3 linked regions of the Tribolium castaneum genome follow. Each later gene encodes a partner of the first gene's protein in a complex. Links are inferred from orthologs where the notes say so. Each region holds a gene or a part of one and is shown on either strand. Other genes may lie near its edges.

Region 1 (8,133 bases):
GCGAAGCACACGTCTCCAGCCTCCCGCATGTGGTCCTTCAAGTCCTGCCACGAGCCCGACGGTGGCAACCCTGCAAAAATTCAATTGTAAATATTTTGATGTAAGCCTATGTAAAAAGATCCGGGGAATCGATTGGTGTCGATAAAATCACCACATTCCCAATAGTTTTTAAGTTACGATTTTTTTCATCTTAAAAGACTTCGTTTTTTTTTAATTCAAATATATGCATTTATTTTGTAGTATAATCTCTATTTAGTTCAACGCACTTAGTGCAATGTGTTTCTAGTTTTTTAATCCCATCCCTGAAGTGACTTTCTGGTAGTTCTGCAAAATACTTATTTATAGTCGCTATTACCTCCTCATTCGAGTGATAATTTCTCCTAATCACATTTTTTTTTTAATTGTGGAAGTCTGGGGAAGTCAAATCAGGCGAATATAAAGAATGTTCTAATAATTCATGTTTTTAATTCGTCAATTTTTCCATTGCCAGAGCGCCTTTGCGACACCCTTTCACACACTATTTTTTCGTATCTAATTCTTGGTGCAAAATAAACTACACCCTTTTCTCAGATATCCCTATCACCTTAGCTACCTCATACACTTTCATTCGCTGATTATCCAATATCGAAATTTGCATTTTTTTGAGGTTTTTATCCGTGGTTACTGTTTTGGTCATCCTTCACAAAACTCATCATTGAGAGATGTGCGACCAAGTTTGAATTCAGCTGGCCATTTTTATAGTAGAATATGAAGAGGTTGACTTGAATAAACTTAATAAGATTACGTCTAATACTTCCGGAGTTATTGCCCGATATGCAGGCTGTTCTGTTTTTATTGTTACAAATTTGTATAATAGGTAATAGAACATTTATTTTTAATCATAAATTTCCTATAAACATGTAGGTTTTCCTCAATATTTCAGAAACCGTTTCAGATAAAAATACAAAATTTGGTACAATTGATAACCTTCATACGCCTAATCGAATTTAAGGATCAAATGTAGGAATTTTTAATGAGAGGTGTCCCAAACTAGGGGCACCGTGTGGTCAGATACGAAATATCGACTAAGCTAAAGCTTAGTATTGGTTTAACTAACCGGTCGATGTTGGCCGCTTAAGCATTGGCTTATCGCTTAACATTTTTAATATTAACGTTATTAATATACATAACTTTATAATTTTATTGAAATCGTTAACAGATAAATTAAAGAAACCGAAGTAGCAATTTTAAACGCAAAAAAAATATGGTCAATTTTGTTCAAAATTATAAAAAAGATACTTGATTACGTTCGGTGAAAAAAATGGAACATGGGCCCAAATTGCTCGAAGATTTAATACAACAAAAGACACCCGTAGAGAGGCTGCTAATTACGAAAAATATATGACAATTAAAAAAATCATAAAATACGCAGACCAACAATGTTAGAAAAAACAGACTCATGAAGCGCCATATAGCCCATATACTACTTACTTTCACAAATGTGGAAAAAAATTGCTTTTAACAATAATGATGAAGAACTATTAAATTTCCGGATTCAAAAATGATGCACAGAAACAGTTTTTTTAAATAAATTTCGGTTCAGTTTGAATTAAACAAATAAACTTGAACAATGACAGTAATGAATAGACAACATGTAAGTTAATATATTATTATTATATTTAAAAAAAAACTAAAAAAAAAGTATAATGATAATAATTTACTTATTCTTATTTCAGTAACTTTTTTAATTGCTGCAGCAAAATCCGACAGTCAGGGGAATAATGTTGTTAGAATTATTGATACTAAGTAAATATTATGTGATTTTAATTACAGCATAGTTTTAAAAAGTGAGGACGCCCAAGTCTTCAAATGCACAAAAGCAACAAATAAACTGTGCAAATCAGTTTATTGCTGTGTTTTGAAAGAAAAGACAGAAAACGATAAATTGCTCTTTTTCAGAAGGAAGCATAAATATCATTATAACAATATTATTCCTACAATGTACCAAAATATTAACTTAACTTTTCAAAATCAGAACTGTTAAAATTTCGTCAAGCAACCTCATACTTGAAGTGCGCAAGCGTTCAGAACTACCAACCCCGTAAGTGACAAGTTCAGCGCGGTTTAGCTAAACTTTCCACTCAACAACACAACTACGGTTTAAACTTAGTTTAAATATAAACCGACCTCATGTAAGCGAAAGCTTCAGCTTGAACTGAGCAATCAGGCCTAACTATTTTGGTTTTAGTTTTCTGACAATTTAATAACAAAATAGTAAATTCCATAGTTTTTTCCATAAAAATGGTCTCTTGTGTTATTTCTATACAACTAACCGTTTCTTAATAAACAGTATGTTACAGACCATAAATAACATGAAAATCAGGGATGAACAGAAGGTTTCGCGACCAGAACCTGTCCCGAGGAAGAACGGACAAAACGTCGACATTTTCTTACAAATGCGGCCTAAGCCAAAAAGACGTAGATTTCAATTTGGTTCTAGTGGTCCGTTTTTTCTTAATTTCTGCCTCTGTTGTTTTACATACGACTTCAGATGTGCTGCAGGAGCAGTCATTTTACCAAAACACAAACTCCTGCAAAATATTAGCACACAACAGTCACAATCAACAACGCACGGTTTTGACATTTATATTTAACGTTTACCAACCCAAACGTAGGTCGTAGCGTTAATTGTATGCAGCAAAAGACTGACGAATCATTAGTCGAGACATTGCTTACGTCACAGCGCGAATTTTCTATTATTACTAAAAAAGTACCGATTTAAAAAAACTCAGACCGATATTACTAGACATCATTTTGTGTCTACTTTCAGAATCTACAATTTCCAAAAACTTTTATTTTCGAGTATAACACTTCATTGTTGGAGATATAACTTGTCAGCTTAAATCCCTATTTCCATAAAAGTGTCTGTTCCCTATACCTGACCCCCAATCTGGATTACAAGCTCTCACCGAAAAGCCGCCCCAATGCTTTTATTATGGGACAAATCTTCAATTCGATTGCAATTTCCGGCATTCCTAATTAAGTTACACGTTTGACGCAATGATATGATTTGTTCAGCTTTTTAAGACGCATCGATTGATATTATAAAAATTACTCAATCTGAGTGGTCCTTAAATTCCCATAAGAAATGTGCCTTCGTTTCTAAAATTGTCAAAAAACGAAAGCCAAAATAGTTGGGGTATTTTTTATCCTCCACCCCCCAATTTGGGACGTCCCTGATTACAAATATGTACATTTGGTGTTCGAATTCAATTAGACGTACAGAGATTATTATCTGTACCAAATTTTGTGTTTTTATATGCCATGGTTTCTGAAATATTGGGGAAATTAAATTACACTAAAAGGAACACCCCTTATGAAATATTCTTCGATACATGTTTGTAGGAAACTTTTCTCCTAAAATTGAGTGTGCTATCACCTGTTTAAAAGTTGTAACAATAAAAACGAACAGCCCATATGTTTTTACGAAAAGATAAGACAATTTTAAATGTATTTTCATGCTTTTTTTATTTTCGCTCTAATCTTATAGTTTACAAAAAAAAAACAAAAATGTAATAATAATAATAAATTATTGACGATTCAAGAAACGATGCAATGAAAACACAACCTCACAATTTAAAAAATCAAATCGTAGGTGGCAGCCACACATGCTAAAATACCCTTGTGTGTAATTTCGAAAAATTCTGTAAATAAAAACTAAATGACTTTCCTTTTAATCGCTTTTCCGACCTTTATTTCCTATTATATTTCGAATGATTTTCGCGATAAAAAACGAAAACACAAATCAAATTAACAAACCCACCTGTCACAAGCACTCTAAATTGCGACCTGCGAGCTGGTGGCCCCCTGGAGCTGCGTCCCCTGTCGCCGCCGCCGCGGCCACCCCTGAAGCTGCCATGGCCGCCGCCCCTCGGGAATTCCACCCGGAGGCGGTAGCCGTCGTAGTCGTAACCGTCCCGTGCATGTACGGCGTCGTCCGCGTCCCTAAATCAGCACACTGAGAGGGTTTCGAGGCCACATGGGGGCTTACCTGGGGTCCTCGAACTCGACGAAGGCGAAAGGAGGTCCCCGTCGGTTTTTCAAGTCGACGAATGTAACTTTGCCGAATTTGTAAAACAGGTCTTGGATGTCTTTGGTGCGGATGTCCGGGGGCAGATTCCCGACGTAGATTCGGCAGTCGTTGCGGCTGTTGGACATCGTTTCGTGTTGGAAAGTGGACGAAATCGGCGATAAACAAGAAGGAAAGATGGCGACGTGAGGGCGTTTGTGATGGCAGAGCCATCTGGACGGGGTGTGGCGCCAAATTCGAATGGAGGGTTGCAGTACAATACAGTGTGTTTACAGAAGAGTGTAGAAATGAGATAACTGCCAACACACTCAGGGAATTTTTATTTTTAAGAATTTTATTCAACTCCGAAGTATTGGTACGGGGTTTGAGGGTCACCGGAATAATTTCTCTGTTAAAATAAAATTTAATTGTACATTAATTTCATTTGCCTCTATTAGCTGTTTCAAAACTATAAAAACGCCAACGTCGCATTTTATCGAATTATTTTTTTAAATACTATTGATAAAATTGTAAAATAGTTATTAATGATTAGATCTCTCATTGAAAGTATAAATTACACTAGTTATTATTTTTTTGAAGTGCATGAATAATTTATAGAGGTTGTTCCATATCTGGTGGCGAACTGACAGTGACATAAAAATACATGGGCGTGCATTTTTTTTCTGTAAAGTTTACTTAGTTCTCATTTTAACATTAATAAATTTTGAGAACGGAGAAAGGTAGAAATATCACTATTAATTATTATTAATAATTTGTTTATTATTTTTCACAGTACTTAATTACCACAATTTTTTAAATACTAACAGTGGATTTGACAGACATTGTATAACGACGCCTATGGTCATTTTTTTTTCAATAGTAAATGTTTACCTATGTATGTTTAATGCCAAAATTCACTCATTTTTGGAATAAACTCTAACAGCTAATTTTGAGAGAAAATGCGACGTTGGCGTTTTTATTGTTCTGAAACAGCAATACTTTAGTTTGATCAAAATTTGAATTTGAATTTAACCCGAAATCGTTTTGAGCAAGTTCAATTTGTGTTTTGTGGAGGCGTTCAAAACTAGATGAAGAGCTAAAAGTTTTACATTTTTTTGTGAAGTTATGATAGTTCTAACGTTTAATTTAACCCTAAGAATAGGTAAAGAGATCATTTACCGAATCATATCGTAAATTTTTAGTGGAAGTACTTATTAAAACAAAAAACTGTACCAACACTAAGTAGTAATTACATAACAAACGCATAAATAAACTGTTTTTACCAAACTGCACACACTAAGACCTATTCTGTAATTTTATTAAAGGACTGTTAAAATTTGACACATTTCAAAAAATAGCAAACCTAGCAATTTTGTTGATTATCGTTGTACCAACAACTAAAGCTCCTTAAATTAAAAACAATTAAAACAGTTTTAAAGCCGGTTTACAGAAAGTGAAATTAAGATCTAATTTAGAATTAAACTAATTCGAATTAAGTTGCCATTTAAATGTAAAATGCATTGACAAATGTCAAGTTAATCGTGATTAAAATGTAATTGCAATTAAAATGTTCTGTAAACCGGCTCCTAGTTTTTCGTACAGAATAAGGCTCAGTGTTGTTTATAGGATTTATTTTAAAAGTGAAGTTTCTAGAAATTAAAATATAGTCATATCATAATAGAGACGTTCAACGCGAACACGAAAACTGGGTGAAATTGAGCTCTATACAATACTCCGATACTGGATACGCCCGAACATACGCTTATAGTCAAGTCGGCGTCGTCGGCGTTGTCATGGCAACGAAACAAAATACGCATGCGAAAGTATGGAATATTTTAATTTGGAAAAAAATTGAATGTGTTATGACGTGTTTAATGTACTTTTTACTGTAAATTTAGTTTATTAGAATTTATTAAATATTTCTGTGTGTAAGTATAGATTTTAGGTGAAATGCCACTTCACGTATTTCCCCAGGCGAGCCGCCACTGCCCTGGACTACAATTACTGAAATAATTAATTCATTGTCATGATTAGAACTTACAACGAAGCACAAGGTAATAATTGCAATTGTTGTAGTCGAAGCAACAATTCACAAACAATGCAAATTGAATGATTTTCTGTTACAATGTGAATTATAACTTATATCATCCCCTTTAAGTTTCAATCCCAAGACCGTAAACACCCTGAATAATCAAACCTTTATTATTTTAATATTTCGCGACCTGAGAACAATCAAGTTCTAACTGCATTTCCATTGCAAACGCAATCAACAGTACAAGGAAAATAGACCAGTGGCATATTTTTAGTAATACATGACCCAATGGTTCGTAATCAATCTATAACTTTTTTGCTATTTGAAATAATGTCATACCGATTTCATTATCCGATAGATCGACTTAAGTCCACAAATTAATAATATTGTTATTATACTTAGGGTGTTGTTTACAGGGTGGTGAACCAGAGTTTATTTTTCTAAATGGAACATCCTATAAATTTTTGCATAATTGGATTCTACACAAAAAAAATATTGTAACTTTATACAGCGTGTTAGGGAATGGTTTAGCAAAAATTTAAAGGTAGATCGAGAATGACAAGGCAAATTGATTAAGCAAAATTTATGTAAATCAAAAATGCATAGTTTTCCCAAAAATTGTTCTGCAATTACAGATCCAAATTTTGAGAACAACTGAAATTGTATTATAAAAATTGGCGCAAAATTAATACCATTGACAAAACAGCAAAGGTAAATTAACTTTTTGGTCCACTACGTTATTCTTCTGTTTCAATTTGTGTTTTGTTATTAAGTACCACGAAAAAAAAAACTTTTTTTGCCAAGATCGGGATTCGAACTTTCAACACAAAGGAACATGTTAGTCACAATTTTGAAAAATTCTCAAAACGCCTTGCGCCACCACTACACAGTGGCTTTCAACAGGTGGGTTAATAAAAATTTCTGAAGAAAGTACGCACTTTTTGGAAAAATGATATAAGAGTTTTTAACTCGTCTGATCATGACAAATTCACATTCGAAATATTGCTAAACCATTCCCTAATACCCTGTATAAACTATTATGGGACTACAAATATCTCTTATCGTTTCGGAATTATTGAACTTGGTAATTTAGTTTTTTATTTTACTCAATAGAATGAAGTGACCATTTGGTGATTTTTTTATTCTATCGGTGAAAACATTTAACAAAAATTTCTCAATGTAGCTATAAGAGAAAACGTTGTATTATACACGTAAAGAAAAGTTGGCATTATCTATCTGCTCGTAAAACTAGTGCTCTGCACTCATTTTAGGAACACATCACTCAACTTTTCTTTATTTGTATAAGAAACCATTATTTGAAGTGTTTCAATGCTCGAAAAAGGCACACCATTTTTTTGGACCCAACTTAACGATTTTTAAGCTATTTTGACGCAAAGTGAAAAAAGTTCTTTACATTCATTGCTTTCTAGGCGATAACATAAAATACCGACGTACTACAACTGTTGAATATTTTCTTAGGAATATTTTTCTAGTTTCTGGTCGTTTAGAAAATGCAAATCAGTTAGTAAATGGATTAGTAATATTACTTTTTTATCTTTATAACTTTTGCTGTCCCGTCCGTTATCACAACTTATTTCTTACGTTGTTAAACAAATTCAAAAATTTTAAATTTCCACTGTTTAAGTTTAATATTGTTATTTCAAGCAACAGAAAAACCAAAATATGATATTCTGTACAATTGTAAAAAGACAGGTCCCGGTTTATTATTGTCTTATTCGTTATCACAAACCTCAACCGCATCCTTCCCTTGTTTGTTATTCATTTTCCAAATCGGGATATAAACGCGCCACCCCGTCGACGGCTCGCAAACACCTCCACCATGTCCAAGAAGAACCTCCTCCTGCTGTTCGACCGCCCCCAGGAGCCCGTCTTCATCGGCAAAGGCTCGAAAAAAACCGTCTTCGACATCCCCAACGACTACCTCAACGACAAATACAAGCCGTTGGGCGTCTCCCTCAGCAACCGCTTCAAGCAGGACGCCGAGGAGACCGTCCCTGTGAAGAAGATCTCCATTCCGCCACTTGGTGAAATC
Region 2 (8,228 bases), on another chromosome or scaffold:
AAAAGGCGACGAGAAATCGCTCGAAATCGTCCGAGGATGAGAAAAAAGCAAAAAAACACGAAAGCAACAATCAGAAGATTGACGATGCTGAAGAGAAGTATAAGAAGTTGTTGATTTTGCGGAAACAGATGGAATTGCTGGAAATGAAGAAGAAGAAAGAGGTGGAGCAAAAATTGCTGGAGGAGAAGCATCGGAAGGCGAAAGAGGAGGCTGATATGTTGGAGAAGGCAAAGAAGGCGAAACGTGAGGCGATTGAGAAGGAGAAGTTGTTGAAGACTTATAAAGTGTTGCAAGAGTTGGATAAGAATAGTTCGAGTAAAGCGAAACGAGAGAGGAGTTATAGTTCCAGTTCGAGCAGTTATAGCGACAGTTCAAGCGATTCTTCGAGGTAAACTTTTTTTCGAGTCAAAAACTAAAATGTTTAGAGAAAAACGAGTGACACATTCTCGGGTCCGTTTTTTGAAAGAATAATTTTGGTCAAAACCGCATCTTCGACTTATAAACAAAAGTTTATTTTTTATATCTTCCTTATTATAAATGATACACATTTGAAACACAGACATTATACAGGCACTTTTTTACAGAGAATTTAATAATGTTATCAGCAATTTTTTTTAATCATTCGTTTAGCTGTAATAACAAAGTTGTATTTTTTTAAATGAGAATCATAGTTGGCTATGACATTTTCGAAAAGCTTATTTTTTTCTGAACTCAAAACAATATAAATATAGTTTGATGTTTTTATATATTTTTGATAAAAATATATTTAAAATATTTTAAAGTAGTTGGCCATGGAAAAATTATTTCACATGAAAGGTGTGAATAATCTAGAAATTTTGTGAACGGTTATTAAAGTAAAAAATGTGAAATTATAAAAATAAGTTAAAGTTATTTTCAATTGAACAAATATACGAGCGTCGCAGATTTTAATTACATAAAAAATGTGCAGAAAATTGCAAACGATGTGTCACGACCACTTGATGCCACTTTTTTATGATTTAGTGCAATGGAGGTGACGTTGATAATGTTGTGTATTTTTTTACCGCAGATGGAATTTGATTTTGGTGTTTGGATTGACATTTTTTTGTAAAATAAAATTTTATTGATACGCAATCATACAATTAATAAGATTTTTCTTCTTCCGACATTTCGTGTTTAAAATTGGAAAATAGAATGACAACGTAAGCTTGCCATTTTAAATATAAAAATAAATAATTTTTATTAATTGCAAAAATTTGATCTAATAAAAATTTATTATGCTGTTTTTGAATTAATTAGGGTTAAAAAAATCATTAAATTATAAGTACTTGTTGGGTAATACAATTTTCATAGTTTTAATTAAAAATCCAAAATGTTTTCATGGCCTACTATAAAGAAAAAGCGAAATGTTTAAAATTAAAAATGTTTTAAAATTAATGTATTACACAAATAGACATATAAAATCAGAAAAAAATAATCTTTTCGAAAATGTCACAGCCAACTATGATTCCTATTTAAAAAAATACAACTTTATGTTATTACAGTTAAACGAATGGTTGAAAAAAATCGCTGATAACATTATTAAATTCTCTGAAAAAAAGTGCCTGTATAATGTCTTCGTTTCAAATGGATATCTTTTATAATAAGGAAGATATGATTTTTTTAAGATTTCGTTAAAATGTCAACTTTTGTTAATAAGTCGAAAACAAAAGACGATAGCGAGATGCGGTTTTGACCAAAATTATTTTCTCAAAAAAGGGACCATAGAATGTGTCACTCGTTTTTCTCAAAACCTCTTAATTTCGGAGTATTTGGACATACAAACAGTTACACATACAAAATATTTTAAATTAAAAAAAAGGCATCTAACTGGGTCAAAAATCAAAAACATTTTGCTAATTATTTGTTTTTAATGCAGAAACGTCATTATTTTGCAAAAATTATCACGAATAAGCCAAAAAATCTTAGTAGAATTTATTCGCAAATATATTTTCGGAACACCTTTTTTCCTGTTTTTAGGCAGTCGAAGAGACGCCGCAGGTCCCGATCGCGTTCCCGCAGGAAGGACAAGAGGCGAAGCAGTTCAAGAGGACGATCGAAACGTCGAGGCTACACTCCAAAAAGGAAAAGATAATGTTCTATCATCATTTTTTAATTTGTCTTTTTTCTTCGATTAGGATTATCAATTACTGAAAAGGTGTAAACATTTTTAATTACACGTGCAGTTGAAATTAAAGCCCAACTACCAAACACTATATTTATTCATTCATCATATTGCTGTCACAGCAATATAAAATCTATTAAAGTTAACAATTTCAACACTTGGGGTCAGTTTTATTGAAGAAAAAATCTCGTCATGAAAATTTAAAAAAGAAATGAAATACAAAACTTAGATAATAAAATAATACAAAGTGCCGAGTGTGAGGAGAAAGCTTGTATAAAACTAGTATTTGTTTTTAAGCTACAGCTTCGACTTCCATTGGTTGGTCCACTTCACCTTCCGTCTTCCTTTTTTTCTTTTTGGCAGCTTTAGGGTTAGCAGAACTCTTGAGTATCGACTGGACTTGTGGATCGCTGATGGAGTGCTCCGATTTGTACAGTTCGGGGTCGAAAGGCAGCCCTGTGATTTTGTGGGGGCCGTTCGGCATCAACAACACCGTGAACTTGAAATGGGCCACAAATTCGCCTGAAAATGGAAAAAAATCAACGCTAGATAAAAAATTCCATAACAGGGGAAGAAACATACCCGGTTTTTCGTAAAGCACTTGGAACGGTTCTATTAACTTATTTTTGACGCACTCCACCACCCCCATTTTGGCCTTGGTCTCGTCCTGAAAACTCCTCAAGTTGAAGGGCATATTCCCGTGCTTGGTGCGCACTTCGCTGTAAAACATCCTCGAAGCTTTGAGTTTTAACTGATAAGTTTCGTCGGTTTTTTTGTAAATCGAGACACGATTATCGCCCTCTCTGCCCACGCCTTCGCCGGTGCTGATCAGCACGTCCATGGCATACACCTCATGCTTGTCCAGTTCGAACTTTTCGTGCTCTTTCTTCTGCGCTTCGTTCGGGTTTTGAATGATGGTTTTCTCGCCGTCGATTTTGAACTGTTTCAGTTGGTGGCTTAACATGCCCTCGACTGGCTTACATTTGAACGATTCGGCCACTCTTTGAACGGCGTCAGTGATTGTGTATGTTTCGTTGCCGGGCTTTAGTAGTCTTAGAGCGGCTTCGGAAGCATAATGTGCTGCGAGCATTACGTCGGCTTTTCGATCGGTGGCCTTGTGCTCGCTTGAGACACCTAGGATTATCGTGTGGGCCACCACGGCGATGAAACCGTCGATATGCGCGCCCAAATCACTAAAAAAAAGGGGCAAGATAGCACATTAAAAGGCATAACTATTTTTTTTTATAATAATATTACATCAGATCGTATATTTGCAATCACTGATTTCAGTTGGATCAATTGGAGTTAAATAAATCATCATGGAGTTAATTTTTGGAAGCAGGACACAACCAGAGTTCTAATCTTAAAAAAATCATATCTTTTTTATTATAAAAGATACACATTTGAAACACAGACATTATACACAAGGCACTTTTTTTCAGAGAATCTAATAATGTTATCAGCGATTTTTTTCAACCATTCGTTTAACTGTAATAACATAAAGTTGTATTTTTTTAAATTGGAATCATAGTTGGCTGTGAAATTTTCGAAAAACTTATTTTTTTCTGATTTGATATGTCTATTTGTGTAATACATTTATTTTGAATATTTAAGAAAAAACAAAACATTTCGCCTTTTTTATAGTAGGCCATGAAAAAATTTTGGATTTTAAATTAAAACTATGAAAATTGTATTACCCAACAAGTATTTATAATTTAATGATTTTTTAAACGCTAATTAATTCAAAAACAGCCAATAAATTTTTATTATATCAAATTTTTGCAATTAATAAAAATTATTTGTTATTATATTTAAAATGGCAAGCTTACGTTGTCATTCTATTTTCCAATTTTAAACATGAAATGTCGGAAGAAGAAAAATCTTATTAATTGTATGATTGCGTATCAATAAAATTTTATTTTACAAAAAAATGTCAATCCAAACACCAAAATCAAATTCCATCTGCGGTAAAAAAATACACAACATTATCAACGTCACCTCCATTGCACTAAATCATAAAAAAAGTGTCATCTAGTGGTAGTGAGACATCGTTTGCAATTTTCTGCACCTTTTTTATGTAATTAAAATCTGCGACGCTCGTATGTTTGTTCAATTGAAAATAACTTTAACTTATTTTTATAATTTCACATTTTTTACTTTAATAACCGTTCACAAAATTTCTAGATTATTCACACCTTTTATGTGAAATAATTTTTCCATGGCCAACTACTTTCAAATATTTTAAATATATTTTTATCAAAAATATATAAAAATATCAAACTATATTTATATTGTTTTGAGTTCAGAAAAAAATAGGCTTTTCGAAAATGTCATAGCCAACTATGATTCTCATTTTAAAAAAATACAACTTTGTAATTAAGAAAGATTACTGATAACATTATTAAATTCTCTGTAAAAAAGTAATAATGTCTTTGTTTCAAATGTGTATCTTTCACAACAAGGAAGATATGAATTTTTTAATATTTCACTAAAATGTCAACTTTTGTTTATAAGTCGAAAACAAAAGACGATAGCAACACAGTTTTGACCAAAATTATTTTCTCAAAGAACGGACCCGAAAATATGTCACTCGTTTTTCTCTAAACCTAACATCTAACACAATGTGTTAAAAATAAAACATTCAAATTTGCCGCCAATTTTAGTTCATCATACAACAAAAGCTCGGCGCCAGGATCGAACATTTGACAAGAAAATAAAAATAACGTGTTACTTGATTCTCTAAACTTGAATAAGACTGTATGGTACTGTTCCGCAATTTTTGGCGCAAAAACCATTTAATTTAATTTTAACCCTTAAGCTGGTTGTGTCCCATTAGAGATTTTTTTTTTCACTTACACTTTGACCATATCCCCGTCCTTCAGGACATAATCAGACTCACTGGCAATGGGAGAAAAATGGCAAATACAGTTGTTGACCGAGACACACGTCGGGAAGGCAATTCCCTTCTTTAGCTCCTTCTCCTTCTTGAAAACTTTGCTCGTTTCTTCCGTGATAAGCTGGTCTCCGAACTCGCAAATCTCGCGAACTGAGCTGCCTGGCTTACATTTTTCGAGAACTTGTTTCAAAATTCCTGAAAAAAAACTAGTTATGACCGAAACGGGGGCCAACGCTTGCTGGGAGACCACATGGTTGGAGCATATGGCGCTGGGTGAATTTAGCCGAGGGTGTTTTTTTTGGGGGGCTCAAGAGCGACGTTTCAACTTACTGTTAACAATTTCTCCGGCCATTTTATACTTGGTAACGACCAAGTCTTCCGAAATTGTTTTCTCCACATTTTTCTCGTCCGCCATTTCTCGCACTACGAGAACTAGAGAGGAAACGTCATGTGGTTGCACACCTGACGCGCCAGTTTTGAATTTATACTTCCACAAAACGTTTATTGTAACTTTGACGGGGGTTAAATGACCGGGGAATCACTTATGACTACGGTGTGATGCACGATTTTGGACCAAACCGCGGAAAATTATAAAAGTGGCCACCGATCAGGGGAATTTTTTTTTGGGGTGGCCAACTTGTGTGGAGAAACTCCCGGCAAAAACTAAATTTTAATATTTATTTATTCATTCTGATGGTTTTTATCTTCGCCGAGTCATATTTTCTGAGAAAAACGCCCTACGGCCGATTACGGCGAAGCTATAATAAGGCCTAAGTCAAAATTCCGACCAAATTTTAAGCAATAATACCAAAAAAAAGATATAAAGATATAAAGTGTTTTTTTCAATATCAAAATTGATAGAGTGGTTAGAACTTAAAAAAATCAAACAATAAACATTTCAAGGGCCAAAATAACCGTTAAAATGAAACAAAACCCAGTTTGTAATTTTCTTTATTAAAAATAAATAACACAATTACTTCATCTCAACATCGCTCGTTGCAAACTTAAGTGTGAAAACCAACGTCATGGGAGACGTAGCATCTGCGACCATGATATCCATGCCATCCTTAAGCCCCAACTCAACTAAAGTCTTATTTAAATTATCCCTGGTCCTCTCCTCTATACTCTTAATCGTGGAAATGTACAAAGTCTTATTTTTCCCATCAATAACCGTGGTTAAACCTGGATTTTTCATTTGAAACATCTCATCCTCACACAGGATTTTAATCAAATCCTTCAGCTTGACTTTACTCGGATCCTCAATCGGTAGAGTTTGCGGCACTTGGGAGCAAACCACACAATTGTCCCTCCGTTCCGCTGCGTAAGTGTAAGTGTAAATCCCGTCCACGTCATTGAAAACCATGTAATTATTCAACGGTAGACAACAACTCGTTGCGATTTTAAACACTTCTGTGGCGCAAACTCCGGCAATAACGGCGTTAGTTGACGCCACTGCTGGAATAATGTGCTTTACGACGCCTTGAACAAGGCGGTAAGTCACTCCAGGGATATTGAACTGGGACGCCCTTTCCAGGGACTTTTCGTAAACCCAGCCAATGTGCTGGGAGTCGTCTCCGTCCAGGGGCGCATTAAAGGGGTTCTCCTTGGGCCACAAAACCACCTTTACGTATTCAATGCAGTGTTCAGGCAGGCGGGGTGTGTTGGCGATTGTGCACAAAGGGTAGGTGATCTGAGGGGGGTACAAGTCAAGGGTGCACTCAACACAGGCGTTGTTGCCAGGGACTATGACGCGGGCGTTGCCCTTAAAACCCTCAGTACCTGGAAATAAATTATTACTCAATTATATATATTTTTTTAAATTTTGGCGCCACAGCACAGTTCAGATGGCGCTGTAAACAAGAAGAATTATTCGGAAATAAAATTAACTAGACGCCCTCTGGTGATGACTTTTGAACTATGTCGAAGACAGTAAAGAAATTTTCGTAATGCCACATTTAACTGACATTTAATGAATTGTTCAACAATTTTGCGTGTATAGTGTTAATTACTTACAATAGAAAGAATTACTTTAAAAGTACGTGGTGGTAAATACTAGCGTTGACTTTGGTTCTGTAGTTTTTCATGGTATAAAGTGTTTATTGTTGGAACTTGAAAGTGGATAAAAAGTGAAAAATATTTAAATTTTGATTACAAAGTGTTATCAAACAGTTGTCTAATTAAAGATTATAAGTAATAAATCACAGCGAACACAAAGTTTGGCTCAAGAAACCAATAAATTAGTGAAGTGTTATGAATTTTAGATTAGAATTTTCCACTGAAAAAATCATGAAATGCTGCAGTAAATGTACAAAACTACAATAAAGATTAACAACTGCTGATACATTTAAACGTAAATTATGCCAAAAGGTAGGTTTTTCAATGTCTTTGTAATAATTTTCCAATAAAGAAAGTGAACCAAACAGTCATTCGTTATTCGTGTTTTCCTCGTCATCTCTCATTTGTCAACATAAGTTTCTTGCATCAAAGATGCAATAATCATTCCGCATAGGCAATGGAATAATTGTGAAGCCCCAAAATTCGTACAACGCTCAAAATATCCGAATAAACATTTTCCCGCCATTTATGGTTACTGTTTTCGACCTAGCTCAGTGGCGCCCCCAACGGTAATTTTATTTCCGAATAGTTTGTTAGATAAAGATAAATGTCAATAAAAATATCAAAATGGAAAAAAAACTAAAATAACACAATTTTTTGTGAGAGAAATAACTTTAGCGTCTGAAACAAGAAGGCGCTGATATTTTGAAACAGCGCCATCTGCGAAAAAAGGCGCGTTTTTTGTCTCAGCCCCCACGTTTCGGCACAAACCTCCATCCACCAATGGAATAATGGTCGAATTATCCAGCACCCCATCCTCGTAGCTCAAGAGCGACAAAATCATGCCATTAATCCACCTCCTGGCCACGATCGAGTCCAACCCGCACACCATAATGTGAAAACTCCGATAAAAACTCTCATCGTAGTCTTGTATTTTGCAAAAATGGGGCGTCACCTGGCACCCAGGCACGCGCTTGTTGATGAAAGCCGCCGCCACTTTGGCCTTGGACTGCCCAATGTCCTTCTGTCTGAACAGAAACTGGCGGTTCAAATTCGACAAGTCGATCGTGTCCATGTCGATGACGTGGATCTGCTTGAACCCCATCAAAGCCAAGTCCTTCAACAGTTCGCAGC
Region 3 (8,442 bases), on another chromosome or scaffold:
CAATTTCGCTCTGAAACGTCTTTGAATGACAACAGTTGCATTTTTCAAAGCCTGGAAATTGGCAATTTGGCGCCGCATTTCCAACTTTTCTCTCCATTTTCTCTGAACAAAAACAGTTACACGTTTCAACTCTTCGAAATTGTTCCTTGCAATTTTCGCCAACTGATTCGCTCTAAAACGCCTTTGAATCACTAAAACGGCTTTCTTCAATTCTTCAAATTGCAAAACTGCGTTTCTCGTAGCTAATTTAGCCCTCCATTTCATTTGAAGAAAAACAACAGTCCGTCTCAAATTACGATATTCAATCATTTTTTTTCTCAATCTCCACTGGCGTTGAATCAAAATTGCGGCTTTTCTGAGCGAATTAAAGCGTTCCTTTTGTAATTTTGCGACTTTGTTGGCCCGAAAACGTCTCTGAATTACAATAGTATTTGTTTTCAACATTTCAAACTCTTTCTTCGAACGAATCATTGCAATTTTAGCCCTCCACTGTCTTTGGACGAAAATCGTAGCCTTTTTAAGCGCTTGGTACCGCCATTTCACCTGAACAAAAATCACAGCTCGTTTCAATCTATTAAACTGGTCCCTTGCTAGTTTCATGCGAACGTAACTTTGTACAAAAATCGTTGCATTCCGCAACATTAAAAACATCCTTCTGGCTTGTCTCCTTCTAAATTCTCTCTGAGCCACAATTGTGGCCCATCGTAAGTTCTTAAACCTTTCGTAAAGTAATTTCGTTCTAAAACGCCTCTGGATAACAATAGCTGCGTTTTTCATTTCCATGAAAAGTTTCCGTTCACATTTCGCTCTCCAACACCTTTGCACAAAAATCGCAGCTTGTTTCAACCGCTTGAAAGCTCTAAACTGTAACTTTGCCCTAACGCGACTTTGGACCCATTTAACTGTCTCCTTCAAAATTTGATAATTGTACAATTGTTGCCTCATTGCCAATTTCGCTCGCCACAGTCTTTGTACAAAAACAACACTTTTGTGTAATAATTTGGCCCGAAATCGTCTCTGAATCAAAATCGTAGCCTCACGTAAAACTTGGTATTGTGTTCTTTGGTTTCGCATAGCTAAAGTTGCCCGCCAACGTCTCTGAATGATTAAAACAGCTCTCTCCTGTTTTTCAGCTTTGAAAAACTTTAGCATATTTTGTAATTTTTCGTAGCGACGTTTGGCCAAAAACATACGAACGTAACGTTGGATTGTGATAGCTGCTGCATTTTTTGTTTCACGAATTAATTTCAATTCGTTTCGTTTTTTCACAATTGTGTCGCTTCGCCACCAGTTTGTTATCAATGTCACACTTTTAGCCATTAGGGGCGTTTGCAATTTGTGAATAATTTGCCACAAAAACGATAGAGTTTTCTCTTTGTGACCGTTGACTATGTCACTTGGTGTAATGTCGTAGAGAATTTCGAAACCCGAACGTTGCAAAGCCTCAAACACGATTTTCATGTTGTGGATTTTTTGCAATCGTGAGACTGTTGGAACACGCAGTTTTTCACTCAAATTATTTTGCAATAGAATAATTTCCATGACTCGTGTTAGTCTAACACCGTCACGTAAATCAACCCCGAGACACTTAACAGCGTAATCAAACTCATTCAAATAGCTCTGCTTATGTACCAAAGTGTATTGAAAGTGTTTCAAATATTTGGTAATATCGCCCATTGACGAAACCGTATCACGGGCAAAAGTCGTAAGAGCCGTTTGGCTCTCTTTAATTGGTGCGTTTTTACAAAACAAACACGGATCATGTGCTATCAATTTCTTGCTTTTGGCCCGGTCTAGGAAAAAAACCAACGCCAGGAATTTCTTCAAAATGAATTGTTTGATCTCCGATTTGTATTTCTCAGAATGGACGGAACGGTGTTTCTTTAATAAAACCGGGTCCCGCATAAAACGCTCCCAAAGGAAGCGAGTCAAGCCCCTAACATCCGAATTCGAATTTAGGGGAATCACCCGTCCGTAAATCGTCTCCAAACCAATGCGCAACCACAGAGGATTATAACTCAAAATCACTTGCATAACATCGGCCTGCAAACGCAAATCTAGATGTACATCACGGTCTTTCCGCAACGCAAGTTTGCCACAATCAATAATCGCGCCAACTTTAATCAAAACGTTTTGAATTTCGTTTGTTTGGTACAACGCCTTAGCGGCTCTCCTTAACGCGTTTAGTTTAGCATTGTTGTGAAACCGTTGCGAGACAATTTCCCTGGTCGGTGCCACTTCGATTTCTTTCTCCATACAACTTCGCCACAATTTGGCTACGTCTAAGGGATGACTTTGCGCATTTGAATCAAGATCCAAAGGTGGTGTTAAAACAGCATTGAGCCACTTTTTGAAATTCTCCTCTTGACCCTCTAACCACGTTACAACTTCCGGTTCGAAAACAACAATATTGCGTTGTTTGGCCCATTCTTGGGGGAATCCCAGATTTGGGCGTTTCGGTGATGTCACTTGAAACGTAACGTCGCTTTTACGCTTCAAGGGTGTGGCTTTCGGTTCGGTTTCTTCCCGAATTGTGACTAGATTTGTGTGATGGCATGACCACAAATCTGCCTCAATGGTCATTTTCACTCCGTTGCCGACAAGACTATCAAGGCGGCATTTTTTCGAAAAACTTGACGGTGAATTATCGGAAATGTCCGATTTGGTGTACGTTTCCGAGCTTAGGTTTTTAACATACGTTTCGCTACTCAGGTTTTTTACAATTTCGAAAGTTGTGTCGTTGAATAAAGTTTTAGGTTTGCATGTTAGAAGAAAATTATCAGTGTTATCGATCGATTTTTCGTCGGTTGAGCAACGTTCTGGATTGAAATCGATTTGATTCGATGGTGTTAATAAAAACGACGTTGATTGTAATCGACGTTCAAATGAAACGCTTGGTGATTTTACCACCGTTATGTTTTCTAAACTGTCGTCAAAAATCTCGGGGATGTTTTGATTTACGGTATAAGTATCTCGTCGTGTTTCAATTTTCGGAGATAAATTGAAATTTTCTTTACCGTTGAATTCACTTTCTGGAGGATTTACGGTAAATGTTGGCATGTTTGTAATGTTTGGGAGGATTGCTCGCTTTTGTGGCGATTTTCGCTTAAAGTTTTGGACCGGTGAAGTGTTTTTCTTGGCCACAAAGCGAGGGAAACGTTTCTGGGTCCCTTTCTTGCTTTTCTAAACCACAAAAAATATTGATAGTTTAGAAAATTAATTTCTTTAATGTGCTATACAAATAATAAAACATGGAGGTGTTATGACAATCAGCACTGCCATTCAACAAAAACAATCAAAGCCTACTCTAATCATAAAAACAAATGATCACACTGTATCTTTACTTACGGTCAAAGTGGCTGCTTTAAGAACGATGGGAACGTTTCGGCACGTCCCTACATCATCAGTAACACACAAATTGAACCTCCAAGCCCCTTCACAGGTGGGGGTCCAAACAAGTTCAAGTGTTTCCTCACTCTGGGCATCTATCCTACAGCCACCCCAACTCAAACTAAAATGAAGTTCTTCCGGAATTGTAATTCTCGCAATCAGCTGAAAAAATGGCTCAAATCCTGCCCTTAGAAACGAACAAACCTACTTCTTTTGCATGTCCTGTCGGATTTTTAATGACCAGATTTTGAGTGGCCGTTTGACCAATTTTAACATTTTCGAAACAAATTTTCGGATTTGGGGTGAAAGGGGCCAGTGATAAAACGGCATTATCTGGCTCGAGTTCCGGCTTTGGTTTTTTGGATTGTTGTCTAACAGGGGGCGAAAACTAAAGTTTGGTTAAGTAACTGACGTCCACTCAGAAATGATAAAACACAACTTACTTGCAAAAACATAGTCACAGGTTAAAATTATCAACATTAAAATAACACACAACAATGTTGGAGGCGATAAAACAGTTTCTTAAAAACTCTGTACTTGAGATGAGTTTTTTGATTCAAATGATAAACCGTCAACTTTCGCTCGACCAATAGAAATGGACGTGTTCTGTTGGTTGCCGGGATTGGAAGTTGGCAATCATGGTTATTTAGTAACATCCATTTTCTGGCTGTTGTTTTTGACGTTTGTGGACAGTTTACGAATGTATTTAATGTATTTTTACAATTTTGCTCATTTATGATGTGATATTGGGGCAATTTGCGTTTAGAAATGGATTCTAAGCCGAGTTTGAACTTGGTGTACGCGGCCGTGTCCGCTCTGTACAACAATCCGAACACAACCGAGAAAGAAAGAGCCTCGCAATGGCTCGGAGAGCTCCAAAAATCCGTAGGTTTTTCCGTAAATTTTTTATTTTGTCTAAATTGTAAGCTGTTTTTTTAGGTCCATGCGTGGACAATCGCCGACGAACTGCTCCACCACAAACGTGATCTGGAATCATGTTATTTTGGGGCACAAACAATGAGGACGAAGATTCATCACTCGTTTCACGAATTGCCAACAGAAGCTCATGAATCTTTGCGAAATTCGCTTTTGGAGCACATTAGTCAAATTAATGAGGACACTAATACTGTTATTGTGACTCAGTTGTGTCTAGCTTTGGCCGATTTGATTCTACAGATGCCCACATGGCAGCAGGCGGCTCTAGATTTGATTAATAGGTTTACAACCACTAATATGTGGCCCTTGCTGGAGATTTTGACCGTTCTGCCGGAAGAACTCGAAAGCCGGTCTGTTAGGTAAGTTTTATTTAAAAAAAGTTGGTTAACAACTCATTGGTATTCCATAATAAAATAATTATTATTTTCCTATGTTGTAAATTACATATTATGTCACTCATTATATGAAATAGTTTATTGACTTGATGTTTGGTCAAAAACCGAATTTTCTCAGCACTTTTTCGTGAATGGATTTTCCTCTATTTATTTAACTTAGGTTGGGCGAAAACCGTCGTATTGTGATGCTGGAGGACCTGAAATCGTGCGCTGGCACCGTCAACGACTTCCTCACTCATTGTTCCAACACTTACGGCAATAATTGGCAAGAAAACGTCCAAATCAACGTAAAAATTCTACGTTGTTTCACATCTTGGGTGTCAGTTGGAGCAATCACTCTAAATGATATTGCCAATAATGTGGTGATATCGCGTGCTTTCTCAATTCTAAACTATAAACCAGAAGGCGACAAACCTCAAAGTGTGGCCGGTTCGTTACACGATGCCGCCTCTGATTGCATTTGCACGTTATTACAATGCCTCGAAGACAACAACAATCAACAAATCCTCGAAACATATTTGTTCAATAACGTGATTAATTTGGAAATTGTTTATCACCTGTCGGTGGCAAACGAAGACCAAGAGAAGTCGATTAATTACTGTCGGATTTTTACCGAACTAGCCGAATCGTTTCTCGAGAAGATTATCAATAGTTGTAGCACGAAATCGTTTCATTATGCGATTAAAGTGCTTGATTTAGTTTTGATTTGTGTGGGACATCACGAATACGAAGTTGCCGAAATCACCTTTAATTTATGGTACGTCCTGAGTGAGGAATTGTATCAGAAGAATAGTAAAGAATTGACCGAATTGTTTCGACCGTACGTTGAAAGATTAATCACAGCGTTATGTAGACACTGTCAAATGGAACCGGATCATGAAGGCTTGCTCGAAGATGGTGACGATTTTAAAGACTTTCGATTAAAAGTCTCCGATTTGGTCAAAGACGTTGTTTTTATCGTTGGAAGTAGCAGTTGTTTTAGACAAATGTTTGTCAATTTGCAAGCACCAGGTGTTACGTGGGATTCCAGCGAAGCCGCCTTGTTCATCATGCAAGCGGTGGCCAAAAATGTCTTGCCGTAAGTATTTAAAACTTTTTGTTCGGATTTTGACTCGATTTTTTTGCAGGAGTGAAAACGAAGTCGTCCCGAAAGTAGTCGAAGCCATACTTTCCCTCCCCGAAACCACACATATCGCCGTAAAATACACCTCAGTCATGTTATTGGGGGAATTATGCGAATGGATCGAAAAACATCCAAATACACTTGATCCAATTTTGAATTTTTTGGTCTGTTGTTTGCCACAGGCCGGTGTTGGTGCAGCTGCTGCAATTTCCTTACAAAGTATCTGTGCAACTTGCAACGATCACATGCCACGACATGTCCCAGTTTTGTTACAATTGTTGCAACAAGTTGATACGTTTGCAATTACGAATAATGCAGTCATTGGATTAGTTAAAGGTGTTGCTGCAATTGTTGGTTGTATGCCACATTGTGATTTAACCGATGCGATGCGAAAATTGTGTTCAATGCAATTGAATCCGTTGTGTCAGCTTATAGAACAGGATGTGGTGCCAGTTAGGGGCACTAAAAGTGATCCGGTTTTGTGGTTGGATAGATTGTCGTCGGTTTTGCGGAATGTCAACGTTAGGCTTTATGAAGGTAAATTTTTAGAGCTAGGAATAATTTTTTTTCCATTTTTTTGTTATTCGGCGAAATAGAAATATTTTTGGTTGCAATTTTCAGGCCAGGTGCACCCTTGCAAGCCTGTGATTTTGGAGGTATGGCCTGTCCTTTCGCGCACGTTCGACAAGTACCAAAACGACCTGAGAATAATGGAGCGGTGTTGCCGTTCCGTTCGTTTTATGTTGCGTTGTGTGAGTCAACAAGTCTGTGAGCTTTTGCAAAGTTTAGTCAGTCAAATAGTTCGAATTTACGCAACCTATAAACATTCGTGTTTTCTCTACGTTGGAAGTATACTCGTTGATGAATACGCAACAGATCCAAATTGCGTCCAAGGCCTGTTGGATATGTTGCAAGCTTTCATCGAACCCACATTTCAACTACTTCAGGAAGAAAACGGATTGAGGAATCATCCCGATACCGTGGATGATTTCTTTCGATTATGTTCGAGATTAATGCAGAGAGCGCCAGTACCGATTTTACAATGCGGTGCACTTGTACATATACTACAGTGTAGTTTGATGGCGTGTACTTTGGATCATAAAGAAGCGAATACGTCGGTAATGAAGTTTTTTTATGATCTGATTAATACCGGAAAGTGTGGTAAAAATCAAATTGATTTCGAACAAAGGAAAGTGCTCGTTACGAGTATTTTAAATGAATATGGACAACAGTTAGTGACGAATTTGCTTCATGCTTGTGTTTTTTATTTACATTCGTATATGTTGAGTGAGGTTGCGGATGTTTTTGTCGAATTGTTAGAATTTGACAGAGAAGCGACAAGTAAATGGTTAGCCAATGGTTTAGACACGTTACCGAAGGAAAGTAACGGGGGGATCATGTCAGCCACTCCTCAACAATTGAACGATATACATGCTTCAATGACTAGGTGACTGGAAAATAGCAATATCAAGGGGGAAATATTAATTTTTCTTTATTTTTTCAGGTCAGACACGTCAAAGTCAGTCACACACGCTCTGAAAGATTTGACTAGGTTTTACCGTTAAAACTGTATGATTATAGTGCTATTTTGAGATAATATACGTATGTACTTTCAGGGTTTGTAAATCATAGTCCTTGCTCCTGTTTTCCATATTTTAATAAAAATAAAAAGCAAAATAATACGTCATGTAAAAGATTGTTCCTTATAACTTCACCCTAAATTAAGACTAGAAAAGTTCAATTCAATATAAAATCGAGGCAATTAAACATGATGATTAATTAAAGGAGTATCGAGTTTTCGCTTGGTGGAAGAACAAGGCAAAAGCCACAAAAGAGGGTGCTCGCGTCCAAAAACATCGCTCAGAAGTGTCATTTTTGGTTTATGGGGGCGATAAGGACCTTGGTTTTGTACGTGTTCTACAGCCGTCTCGTCTGTTACAATGGCTTGGATTTGGTCCACAAGAATCGCAGAAACGAACATGCCAAACAGGGCGCTTATCAGTAGCAGAACTACTGAATGCATTCTACAAAAAAATTGATTGGTTAATGAAGCCGAATACTGTTTGGACATTTTTTTGTTGACCACTCTATTTTAAATGATTAATAAAAAGCGATCAACGAAAAAATTATCTAAGGTTGATTCGTACATTCTGGCCTGCTTGATTGGAATTTCCTGACTGCAGTCTTTACACTCCGTTATCCACGAAACACTGACCAATACTATTGCATAAACAGATAATACTCCGACATAAATAAGAAACTGAAGGAAATACTTTTGGTTGCGTTCGCCCACACAATTATTAATCCAAGGACAATGATGGTCCATTCTTCGAATACACCGCCTGCAAATGCGGCAATGATGCGCCCTTGGGGGCCTGTAAATTTCGCAACGTGTGCAAACCGTCCAATCAACATAATCACAGCCTAGAATTATTTTTGTTAAAAGGAGGCCTAAATCTTTGCCATGTAATACCAGACTCAGAGGAATGCATATCGGAAAAGTCCAATTTACTGGGAAACAAAGGCAAAGTTCCAGGGTCTGTGAAAACAGCCCGAAAGTGGGCCATACACAGGAATAAAATTACAGTATTGAACATG

The links.
Region 2: SF2 (region 1) and proliferation-associated protein 2G4 share a complex: the UniProt entries of both Homo sapiens proteins name them as parts of the ribonucleoprotein complex. The link is inferred for Tribolium castaneum from reciprocal best matches to the Homo sapiens genes SRSF1 and PA2G4.
Region 3: the proteins of SF2 (region 1) and Tnpo-SR are in contact, whole or in part, in a crystal structure (PDB 4C0O), measured with the Homo sapiens proteins. The link is inferred for Tribolium castaneum from reciprocal best matches to the Homo sapiens genes SRSF1 and TNPO3. Residues at the interface, in NP_008855.1 of Homo sapiens: Ser116, Arg117, Arg118, Ser133, Trp134, Gln135, Lys138, Asp139, Arg142, Glu143, Gly145, Asp146, Cys148, Tyr149, Ala150, Asp151, Val152, Tyr153, Arg154, Val172, Arg173, Asp176, Asn177, Arg181, His183, Tyr189, Ile190, Arg191, Arg198, Pro200; in NP_036602.1 of Homo sapiens: His155, Arg157, Arg160, Thr167, Tyr254, Ile256, Glu257, Glu304, Glu340, Ile341, Phe343, Asn344, Tyr347, Arg348, Glu351, His352, Lys355, Thr356, Arg620, Asn656, Glu660, Arg661, Arg664, Arg667, Phe668, Arg671, Ser698, Cys699, Tyr702, Ile706.

The regions. Positions count from the first base shown.
Region 1 is NC_087401.1:8,586,637-8,594,769, forward strand, and holds the start of SF2 (serine/arginine-rich splicing factor 1A), read right to left. Parts: upstream 4,287-8,133; 5' UTR 4,198-4,286; coding exon 4,031-4,197; intron 3,985-4,030; coding exon 3,803-3,984; intron 71-3,802; coding exon 1-70. Other genes in the region: phenoloxidase 1, read left to right, coding at 7,921-8,133. UniProt on the Homo sapiens protein: Plays a role in preventing exon skipping, ensuring the accuracy of splicing and regulating alternative splicing.
Region 2 is NC_087400.1:1,390,657-1,398,884, reverse strand, and holds proliferation-associated protein 2G4, read right to left. Parts: upstream 5,524-8,228; 5' UTR 5,455-5,523; coding exon 5,370-5,454; intron 5,235-5,369; coding exon 5,000-5,234; intron 3,337-4,999; coding exon 2,726-3,336; intron 2,666-2,725; coding exon 2,436-2,665; 3' UTR 2,223-2,435; downstream 1-2,222. Other genes in the region: Moca-cyp (peptidyl-prolyl cis-trans isomerase G), read left to right, coding at 1-388, 1,999-2,113; Uba3 (nedd8-activating enzyme E1 catalytic subunit), read right to left, coding at 6,013-6,818, 7,866-8,228. UniProt on the Homo sapiens protein: May play a role in a ERBB3-regulated signal transduction pathway. Seems be involved in growth regulation. Acts a corepressor of the androgen receptor (AR) and is regulated by the ERBB3 ligand neuregulin-1/heregulin (HRG).
Region 3 is NC_087402.1:358,167-366,608, reverse strand, and holds Tnpo-SR (transportin-3), read left to right. Parts: upstream 1-4,032; 5' UTR 4,033-4,158; coding exon 4,159-4,275; intron 4,276-4,329; coding exon 4,330-4,685; intron 4,686-4,881; coding exon 4,882-5,799; intron 5,800-5,848; coding exon 5,849-6,381; intron 6,382-6,465; coding exon 6,466-7,291; intron 7,292-7,348; coding exon 7,349-7,409; 3' UTR 7,410-7,459; downstream 7,460-8,442. Other genes in the region: asp (abnormal spindle-like microcephaly-associated protein homolog), read right to left, coding at 1-3,183, 3,349-3,552, 3,599-3,778, 3,834-3,845. UniProt on the Homo sapiens protein: Importin, which transports target proteins into the nucleus. Specifically mediates the nuclear import of splicing factor serine/arginine (SR) proteins, such as RBM4, SFRS1 and SFRS2, by recognizing phosphorylated SR domains.